Linked DNA regions of Macaca fascicularis. The protein of the gene in region 2 interacts with the protein of the main gene of each other region in a biochemical or structural test. Links are inferred from orthologs where the notes say so. Each region holds a gene or a part of one and is shown on either strand. Other genes may lie near its edges.

What was found.
Region 1: the proteins of RNH1 (region 2) and ANG are reported together in a solved structure, tested with the Homo sapiens proteins (3 studies listed by BioGRID and IntAct, with this or other methods). The link is inferred for Macaca fascicularis from reciprocal best matches to the Homo sapiens genes RNH1 and ANG.

The regions. Positions count from the first base shown.
Region 1 is NC_088381.1:88,364,663-88,369,356, reverse strand, and holds the end of ANG (angiogenin), read right to left. Parts: intron 1,111-4,694; 5' UTR 1,093-1,110; coding exon 652-1,092; 3' UTR 469-651; downstream 1-468. UniProt on the Homo sapiens protein: Secreted ribonuclease that can either promote or restrict cell proliferation of target cells, depending on the context. Endocytosed in target cells via its receptor PLXNB2 and translocates to the cytoplasm or nucleus.
Region 2 is NC_088388.1:403,081-408,223, forward strand, and holds the start of RNH1 (ribonuclease inhibitor), read right to left. Parts: upstream 3,516-5,143; 5' UTR 3,294-3,515; intron 2,125-3,293; 5' UTR 2,066-2,124; coding exon 1,985-2,065; intron 1,084-1,984; coding exon 999-1,083; intron 704-998; exon of another isoform or gene 663-703; intron 474-662; exon of another isoform or gene 319-473; intron 1-318. UniProt on the Homo sapiens protein: Ribonuclease inhibitor which inhibits RNASE1, RNASE2 and angiogenin (ANG). May play a role in redox homeostasis. Required to inhibit the cytotoxic tRNA ribonuclease activity of ANG in the cytoplasm in absence of stress.

The sequences.
Region 1 (4,694 bases), on a different chromosome or scaffold from region 2:
CTCCCTGATGACTTGTAAAAAACTGACTGATAAGGTAAAAGTGGCCAGGCTCGGAGGCTCATGCCTGTAATCCCAGCACTTTGGGAGGCCAAGGTGGGTGGATTGCCTGAGGTCAGGAGTTCAAGATCAACCTGGCCAAAATGGTGAAACCCTGTCTCTATTAAGAACACAAAAATTAGCCAGGTATGGTGGTACATGCCTGTAATCCCAGCTATTTGGGAGGCTGAGGCAGGAGAATCACTTGAACCCAGGAGGCAGAGGTTGTGGTGAGCCAAGATTGTGCCATTGCACTCAAGCCTGGCAATAGAGTGAGACTCCGTCTCAAAAAAAAAAAAGGAAAGGAAAGAAAAGAAAAGAAAAGAAAAGAAAAAGGCATTTATATCCTATGCAGTCCTCTCAGGGAGCAACCAAGTAGAGAAAATGGGGGAAAGATCAATATGCCCAGAATCAGTGAGAAGACTCTGATTCTTACTGATATCAGTGACATTTTTATTTATTAAACATGTTGTCAGACAGAAAACAAAAGGTCCAGGTAGCTCTTTCTTTGGGCCCTTGGCAATGCATGTTGCCACACTGTTCTAGGGTGCAGAGGGGAAATGTAAGGCAAGGGCAGCAGAGCCAGCACTTGACACTTGACCAGTGGCCCGCTGGTTACGGACGGAAAATGGACTCATCCAAGTGGACAGGTAGGCCATTTTCACAACCAACAACAATGTTTCTGGACCCCCGTGTGGCTCGGTACTGGCATGGAGGCCGGGGGGATCCTCCACGTAGTTTGCAAGTGGTGACCTGGAAAGGAGACGTGCTTATTCTTAGGTTTCCTCCATAAGGGCTTCCATTCTCATCTCCACAGATGGCCGTGATGTGGTGCCTGTTGCCATGAACAAAGGTGTTGATGTCTTTGCAGGGTGAGGTCAGATGCCGTCTCCTCATCGTGCTTTCACAGTATCTGTCATTCCGGCCCTGTGGTGTGGCATCATAGTGCTTGGCCAGGAAGTCTCTGTACCTTGGGTTATCCTGAGCCAGGGTGGGTAGGGTCAGACCCAGACCCAGCATGAAGACCAACAAGAAAAGGCCCAGGCGCATCACCATCTCTTCCAACACAGGCTCCTGCCAAGGGCAAAAGGAGGAATGGTAGATGCAAGAACAGCATCACCAAATCAGGCAAAAAGGACAGGAGCTTTTCTCTCTGACACGGCATCATGAATCAGATCTTTTCCGCCACCAAATTATATATTCTATTCTCCCTTTCTCATTAACCTTACACCTGTTCTGAATCCATTCCTCTGAAAGGTCTATTTAATAGTTTCCTGAGCACAACCTCTAGCTCCAACCATTCTTTCCTATCCCTTAGAATCACTGAGTATTTCTCTATCAGTCGTTACATTACAAAATCCACTCTCACTAATTCACTTATTAATTAATTGAATAACGAACATTACATAGGTCCCTACTGGGTACCAGGGACTGTACTAGGTCCTGACGCACATTCAGACATACCAAATGACGGCCGGGCGCGGTGCCTCAGGCCTGTAATCCCAGCACTTTGGGAGGCCGAGACGGGCGGATCACGTGGTCAGGAAATCGAGACCATCCTGGCTAACACAGTGAAACCCCATCTCTACTAAAAATACAAAAAATTAGCCGGGCGTGGTGGCGGGCGCCTGTGGTCCCAGCTACCTGGGAGGCTGAGGCAGGAGACTGGCGTGAACCAGGGAGGTGGAGCTTGCAGTGAGCAAGATCGCGCCACTGCACTCCAGCCTGGGCGGCGACAGAGGCAGACTCTGTCAAAAAAAAAGACATACCAAATGCCTCCCTAATAGGAAATGAGGCATCCATGGGGAAAGGATGGGGGCTTCAGTGTACTGAGATGAGATAGTAATACAGGAGGTGAGAGATAAGAAGAGAGAGTTTTAGGGGAGTGGTCTCTAACACTTTTGGCACCAGGGACCATTTTTGTGGAAGACAGTATTTCCATGGATGGGTGGGGGATGGTTTCAGGATGAAATCGTTCTGGCTCAGATCATCAAGAATTAGTTTAATTTAGGGTCTCATAAAGAGGACACAATCTGGATCCCGCACATGTGCAGTTCACAATAGAGGGGTCCGGCTCCTGTGAGAATCTAATGCTGCCTGCTGATCTGACAGGAGGCAGAGCTCAGGCGGACAGGCCACAGACCGGGATTTGGGGACCTCTGTTTTAGGGAATCCAGAGCCCAGAGAAGGATCAACCATAAAATTGTTTATGACAGAATTCTAGCTAATTACTCAGCTAATGTGAAGAAAGCAGTTGAAAGCAGTTGCATCCTGAGTTGAGGGGAAGCAGACCTACTTCCCCAAGAAGTAGGTGGTTCATGGCCAAAGGTGAATTTGTTCTGTACCATTTAGAAAGAAGAGGGAGGAGCATGGAAGAAGACACGCGATGTTTGGAAGATGGGTCTGGAATCAACCCTTACAGAGAAGAAAGAGGAATATGAGCTTATTCTTAGGAGCTTCTCACATTGGAAGCAATTGAGATTATTCTAGATAATATTTTCTAGTTTCTCCTGCATATGTACATATGCTGTTACACAACAGGCAAAAGGTGCTACCATGTGGTAAAAAAATGCCTTAGACTTTTTTTTTTTTATCAAATCAAAGGCCTTACAGTTTGCTCTAATGATTTCTTAACATCTTCCTCAAAAGAAGAGAAAAAGAGGATTCCTGCCATCACCTCTCAAGAGCTGTCCCTCTCAAACTCTAGAACGCACACATCCCAGGAATGGTGCATCACAGACACTCACCTTTAGGTAGATGCTTTAGGTAAATACGGTGCTTCTTCCTGGAGCTTAATTTTAACTCAATGACTGATCATTGACAATAGAACTAAACAAATATGAATTATAACAAAATAGAAAGCAAATTTCTTATGAACTTTTAAGATTCTATTTCTTATGAAAGTTCAAGATTAGAGAATTGAAAAGTATTTGGTATGTGCAACAAGTAGTTTCTGACTATACCTTTAGTTCTTTGGAGAAAATTTTAAAGACCATTCAGAGCCTTTAAAAATCATTACAGATCTAACCCACATTATATCTAATATATGTGAATGCCCCTATATTTGACAACAAAAATAACTTTTCACTGTAAAATTTTACCTGATTTTTGGAATTTTGCTTTTCAAATTGTTCATTTATGAGTAACTCATTGAATTTATGACTGGCTATGATTTCTTGGTAGTCATCACACATACTGAGAAATTCTCACAAAGGGAGAAAAATCTGATCTTCAAATTGTATTACATTCTTATGTAATACAATTCTTATGACCCCTAAACGTAAAAATAAATGGTACACTTTCATAGACACTAAATTAATTATTAATTTTTTATTTGGTGCTTCTCTTGTGTGTAAGTCAATGAACATCTTCATATCAAATAGTTCTGTAGCCTTTGCCGGAAGCACCAAGGTTGTACAAGTTGTGGGGGATGTTGCTGTCCACAGAAGGGAGTCTGAGCTTAAAAAGGCCATGGGTCCTAGCACTAGGCCTGTGCTGTGGCTAGCCTGTTCTGAGAGCAAGACTGTGGATCTAGAAAGACACAGGACTCCAGTGTTCTATGGTTACATGGGAAGAAATGTGGGGTGAGCAAAGTGAGCTCTCTTTCTAATTTGCATTTGGTGTTGATTCCATTACAAATTATAACCTATGAACTTAATGCAAACATTTCCAGCTGCTATTTACTTCATTATTGTGGAATGAAAAATTCCTTACCATATAATTTGGTATTCTTCAGCAGTGTATCAAATTTGTCTGCACTGACATTTGTCTATACTTGAGACGAGTTGCTATCTCTAAAAGTCTGCAATTCCATGCTGAAAGTGTGTTCTTGGGAGTTTATCAAGAAAGAGGTACATGATTGCAGAATGGAGAGCCAGCCCTAAAGGAGTAACAAGTATTCACTCATGCAGTTGCTCCAATATAGCTGCTGGGCTGCCAAGCCACCCACTTCCCAAGTTCTTTACATTTACATCATGCTTTTCAGTCTCCTGCGTGTGTTTCCTGTTTCTAGTTTTTTGGAAGATCTTATCAAAGTTTTATTGATTTGTAATCAATTAAGTCTCTTGCTCTGTAATGAACAAATACTGACTTCTAATGTCAAAAGTCTCTTACATAGTCAACATCCCTCTGCCTGGTGCCAGAATCCCAGAATTCAAAAAATCAGGGAGCGGAACCAGAGCTGCTAGTACCTAAAAGAGTCATTAGGTGGCAGTGGTGGATAGGAATGTTACTAATGTCTCCTCTAGGAAAGAGACCGGACTTGGAAGAGGTGCCAATGCTGTGTAACTGGTGGGGATATTGCTGTTCACAGAAGCGAGTATGAGCTGATGAGCCTGTTTAGAATCTCTGTCCAAACCCTCTCTGCATTAGATATTAAGACCAAGGACACCTTACCAGGTATAAGTGCCAAAGTAAAAGCCACAAAGCTCAGGATCTACCCATAATGATATCACAAAATGAAGATCGACCTGTTGTCAGGTTTCACAGTTGCCATTTCCAAGCATGCCATTACCCATGTGATCCTGGATGAACAATGGACTATTTACTTGTGAGTGTTTCTTACTGGTGTATATTCTACAGAATTCATATTATTCACCTTGAATCAACATGCTTGCCTTATTATACCCCTTAATAGTTTTTAAATAATTGACTTCATT
Region 2 (5,143 bases):
GCCAGCGCTCCTGTGACCATCTGGAACTAGGGCTGTGGGAGTGGCCCCGTCCCCACCCCTCAGGCTTGGCCAGACCCTGCTGTATCCCAGGAAGGCCCTTCTGAACCTCTGTGGGTCACAGATCCCACTGAGAACCCCATGAAAATGCGGGTGTAAACGCCCTTCTCTGTGACTGGAGAAGGCCCTGGCTCCCTACACAGCCAGGGCTAAAGCACACTCAGGAACCCGCCACCACCAGCCAGCAGCCTGCTTTGGTCAAGGCAGAGGTCTGAACAGCGGCCCTAACGGTCCCTTATCCGGAAACCAGACCTTCCCAACCTTAGGGCGGGAGGTCTCCGCAGCGCCCAAGACCTGAGCCCCCCCGCCCCGGGGAGCCACACGGGAGGGGCCGTTCGGAGGCCAATTCAGGTCCTTCGGTTCCGACGTGATGGGGACGTGGACACGGCGACCTCCGAGGGGCGCAGGGCCACCCCCTAGGGAGACACGGGCCACGCTCAGGCGACGTGCAAACGTTCCTGGTCCCTGGGACCCCCGCCCGCGTCGAGTCCCTCGAACCCGCTAGTTCTGGACACCCTGCCGCATACTAAAGGGCTGGGAGGGAACCTCAGAAAAACACGGAGTGGGTCTCCCCTGCTTCTCTGCCCCCGCCCGCGCCCGCTCACCCGGCGCCGCCGCCGCAGACCCAAGGCCCGAGCCGCTTCGCGCTCCTTCCGCCCAGGCGGGGGCGGGCGGAGCCTCCAGCGTGCCCAGCTCAGTCCCCGGGCCTCGTTCCAGTTACTACCCCAGCTTCCCCACTCCCCCCTCGGTTGGGGGTGAAGCCTGACGTCCGCATCCCGTTTCCCACCGTCTGCCCCCAACCAGCCTTTCCACTTAATCTCCCGGAACCGGCGCCTGCACCCGCCTTCCCCCAGACCATCCCTCCAGCTCTGGCAGCCCCTGCCTCCTCCCACAAACAGGCCGGATTCCAAGAATTCCCCAAACACTAAAATAAAGCAAACCTGAGATACTCCTTTTTGCTACCAGACTGGAGATCATGGAACAGATTGACGATGATTTGTTGCGGCTGACGCGAAATGGGCGAGGCTGTGAGGAGAGGTTTTGGAGAGCCGCTGGGCCCTCCTGAAAACTTTGGACACACCCTCCGTTTCTATCAGTCAAGAGTTCTGGCCGGGCGCGGTGGCTCAAGCCTGTAATCCCAGCACTTTGGGAGGCCGAGACGGGTGGATCACGAGGTCAGGAGATAGAGACCATCCTGGCTAACACGGTGAAACCTTGTCTCTACTAAAAAATACCAAAAAAAAAACTAGCCGGGCGAGGTGGCGGCCGCTTGTAGTCCCAGCTACTCGGGAGGCTGAGGCAGGAGAATGGCATGAACCCAGGAGGCGGAACTTGCAGTGAGCTGAGATCTGGCCAAAACCAATGTATATCTTTTTTTTTTTTTTTTTTTTTTTTGAGATGGAGTCTCGCTCTGTCGCCCAGGCTGGAGTGCAGTGGCCGGATCTCAGCTCACTGCAAGCTCTGCCTCCCGGGTTTACGCCATTCTCCTGCCTCAGCCTCCCGAGTAGCTGGGACTACAGGCGCCTGCCACCTTGCCCAGCTAGTTTTTTGTATTTTTTAGTAGAGACGGGGTTTCACCGTGTTAGCCAAGATGGTCTCGATCTCCTGACCTTGTGATCCACCCGTCTCGGCCTCCCAAAGTGCTGGGATTACAGGCTTGAGCCACCGCGCCCGGCCCACCAATGTATATCTTAAATGTATTTCATTGATGCCTCATATCTCTCTAAAACGTATAAAATCAAGCTGCCCCAACCACCTTGGACACATGTTCCCAGGATCTCCACCGGCCGCAGTCACTCATTTTTGGTTCCGAATTAATCCCTTCAAATATTTTACATTTTAACTATTATTATCAACAGTACCTTTTTAAAAATAAGAATGGCCCTGAAAGATGTCAACATCCGAATCTTCAAACCTGTGGTGTTACCTTACGTGGCAAAAGGGACTTTGCAAATATTAGGAATATTGAGATGTGAAGGCTATCCTGGGGTATCTGGGCGGCCGGCATATTATCGTGAGGGTTCTTATGCAGAGACAGCAGGTTTTGAAGATGGAAGAAGATGGCCTCTAGAAGTTGGAAAAGCAGATTTTCCTTGGGAACCTCCAGAAGCAACTACCCTTGCCAACACCTTGATTTTAACCTCCTAAAACTCACTTTGGGCTTCTGAGCTTCAGGCCTGTAAAACAACCTATCTATGGCAAATTCGTTATAGCAGGGATGAGACAATAGCTCACTGCAGCCTCCTCCTCCAGGGCTCAAGCCATCCTCCTGCCTCAGCGTCCCAAGTAGCTGGGACTACAGGCGTTCACTACCACAACTGGCTAATTTTTTCCATTTTTTTGTAGAGACGGGGGTCTCACTATGTTGGCCAGGCTGGTCGCAAACTCCCGGGCTCAAGAGATCCGCCCGCCTTGGCCTCCCTAAGTGCTGGGATTACAGGCTGCACCAGCGCATCCAGCCAAATGTAACCTTTTTTTTTTTTTCCTGAGACGGAGTTTCACTCTTGTCACCCAGGCTGGAGTGCAGTGGCATCATCTCGGCTCACTGCAACCTCCGCCTCCTGAGTTCAAGCGATTCTCCTACCTCAACCTCCCAAGTAGCTGGGATTACAGGCGCCTGCCACCACGCCCGGCTAATTTTGTATTTTTAGTAGAGACGGGGTTTCACCACGTTGGCCAGGCTGTTCCTGAACTCCTGACCTCAGGTGATCCGCCCGCCTCGCACTCCCAAAATCCTGGGATTACAGGGGTGAGCCACTACGCCCGGCCCCAATGTAACTCTTAACGGCAATATCGTGTGCAGTCTCCCGCTCGTATTCGGTTTACTCGACCAATCGCTAAGACGACACTTGAGACTGTTTTCATATCTTTAGGCTTTCCACCATCCTAGAAAGGGGCCTTGCCTGGTTCTAAGGCCGTTCTGAAACACTACCCAACTGTCCTCGGGAAACGGTGCAGAAATCCTCTGGTTTCCCCCAAGGCGCGTGGGCACCTTGGCTGGAACCTCGCCCAATAACACGATGTGCCTGGGGCCCCTTCATCATTTCCGCCAACCCTGGTTACAGCCCTGACGCCGGCCCCTAAGAGCCGTTCCAGTTCTGTCGCTCTCCTCCCCGCAGCCCCAGGCGGTAGCTTCGCGGCCCGGCGTCCGGTCTCCCGGTGGTCCCAGAGCGAGGCTCCGCAATGGAGGGCGAAGGACCCTCCCTCCCCGACCTCGCACGACCGAGACCGCCCACCTTTCCCCCAACGCCCGGCGGTGGGAGCCGTTCGAGTCTTCTCCGCCAGAGCGGTCCTTCCCGGGAGGCCGGTTCTTTGGGGGAATAAGGTCAAGGGTTACGTGATTTGGGGAAGAAAGCTCGGCTGGACCAAGATTGCTTGCGCAGCTCGCTGGAATCTAAGGCACTAGGGGGCACGACGGCCACGCGAGAACGACCCAAGTAGGCGCAGCACCGCCCCCCGCCCCGCGCAGGGACTTCCGGCGCGCCCCAAAGGGGAGCTCGCGGCGCGATGACGTCTTCAGGGAGCGCCACATCCGCCGGGCGGCGCATCTGCCCAGCGCAACCTTGCCGGCCCCAGACCCCTGCCCCGCCCGACCCCGCCCCGCCGCGGGAGCGCGCCACTCGCCCGCGCAGCAGGGGCCTCAGTAGCGCTAGGCGCGCGTCTTCCGAAAGCCCGACCGAGGCCGGCGTGGGCGAGGCCTGGCTACAGGCTGACGCACCGCTGGAGCTACTGACCTCGGGACGACTGGCGGACGGTCGCAGGCCTGGAGACCCAGAGCGAGACGGCCGACTTCCTTCTCGAGCCAGCAGAACGGGTTGAATGTGTCGACACCTCCAGCCGCCAGAGTCAGCGGCGCGGGCGTGTTGGAGCCGGCTGGTGGGCGCGGTCAGGTGCGGGGGCGGGGACTACTGGGCGGGGCTCGGCGCAGGGGCGGGGCCTGATGGGCGCAGTCTCGGTGCGGGGGCGGGGCCTAGAGGGCATGGCTCGGCTCGGGGGCGGGGCTCGGCGAAGTACAGTCGGCGCAGGGGCGGGGCTCGTGGGGCGAGGCTCGATGCGGGGGCGAGAGGGTCTCGTGGGGACGGGGGTCTCCCTAGTAGGCGGGGCTTGGTGCTGGGGGCGGGGCCTGGCGGGCCCGTGCTGTGGCCTCGCACTGGCAGACACTTCTCGGCGATTCCTCAGAATCCTCGGAGGAGGCGGCCAGACCCGGAGCGGCAGCGCCGTGGAGGCGGAGTCGCAGGCGCAGGTCGGGCCTGGCTGGGGCGCGGAGCGCGGCCCCCGGAGAAAGCGGCGGCCTCGGGACAGGAGGGACCCGGGAGAAGCCCCCCTGGGGCGGCTCCGCATGTCGGGGTCGCGCCTCTAGGCGACCTTGGTAGAGGGGCTCCTTTGCGCCGAGATCGCGACCCTCGAGGGAGCCACGGCCCGGTGATCCACGCTGCCCGTCCCGGCCATTGGCTGCGCCTTTGTTTCGTGGGACCCCAGCCCGCAAGGCCTGCAGAGCTGCGGACCCAGCTCTCATCGCGGACCCAGCTGCTCCCGCGTCCATTCTGCGGCCAAGACACCCGAGCGCCGCCCGGAGCCCCGGTACTGAGGGGCGCAGGCCGAGTTCCAGACTAGCCTGGGAAACGCAAAGCGACCCCACCTCCACAAAAGTGGGTTTACTTTAAGTTTTTGACTAGTCCCCAGTTCACAAAATTGACATTTTGGCAGATGAAGATTGCAAGGAAACTGACGGTACGTCAGATTTGTTCTTTAGCAATTTGCTAAACCTCTTCTCTGACTGCCTTTATTATGTATTTATTTTCCAGACAAGGTCTTACTCCGCTGCTTAGGCTGCACTGCAGTGGCGTGATCCCAGCTCACTGCAGCCTCCACCTCTCGGACTCCAGCGATCCTCCCGCCTCAGCCTCCCAAGTAGCTGGGACCACAGGCGCCAGCACGCCTGGCTTATTGTTTTATTTTATGTAGAGAAGAGGTCTCCCTGTGTTGCCCAGGCTGGTCTTGAATTGGGCTCAAGTGATCCTCCTGCTTCAGCCTCCCATAGCGCTGGAATTACTGGCAGGAGCCACTGTATCCGGCTTGATCATCT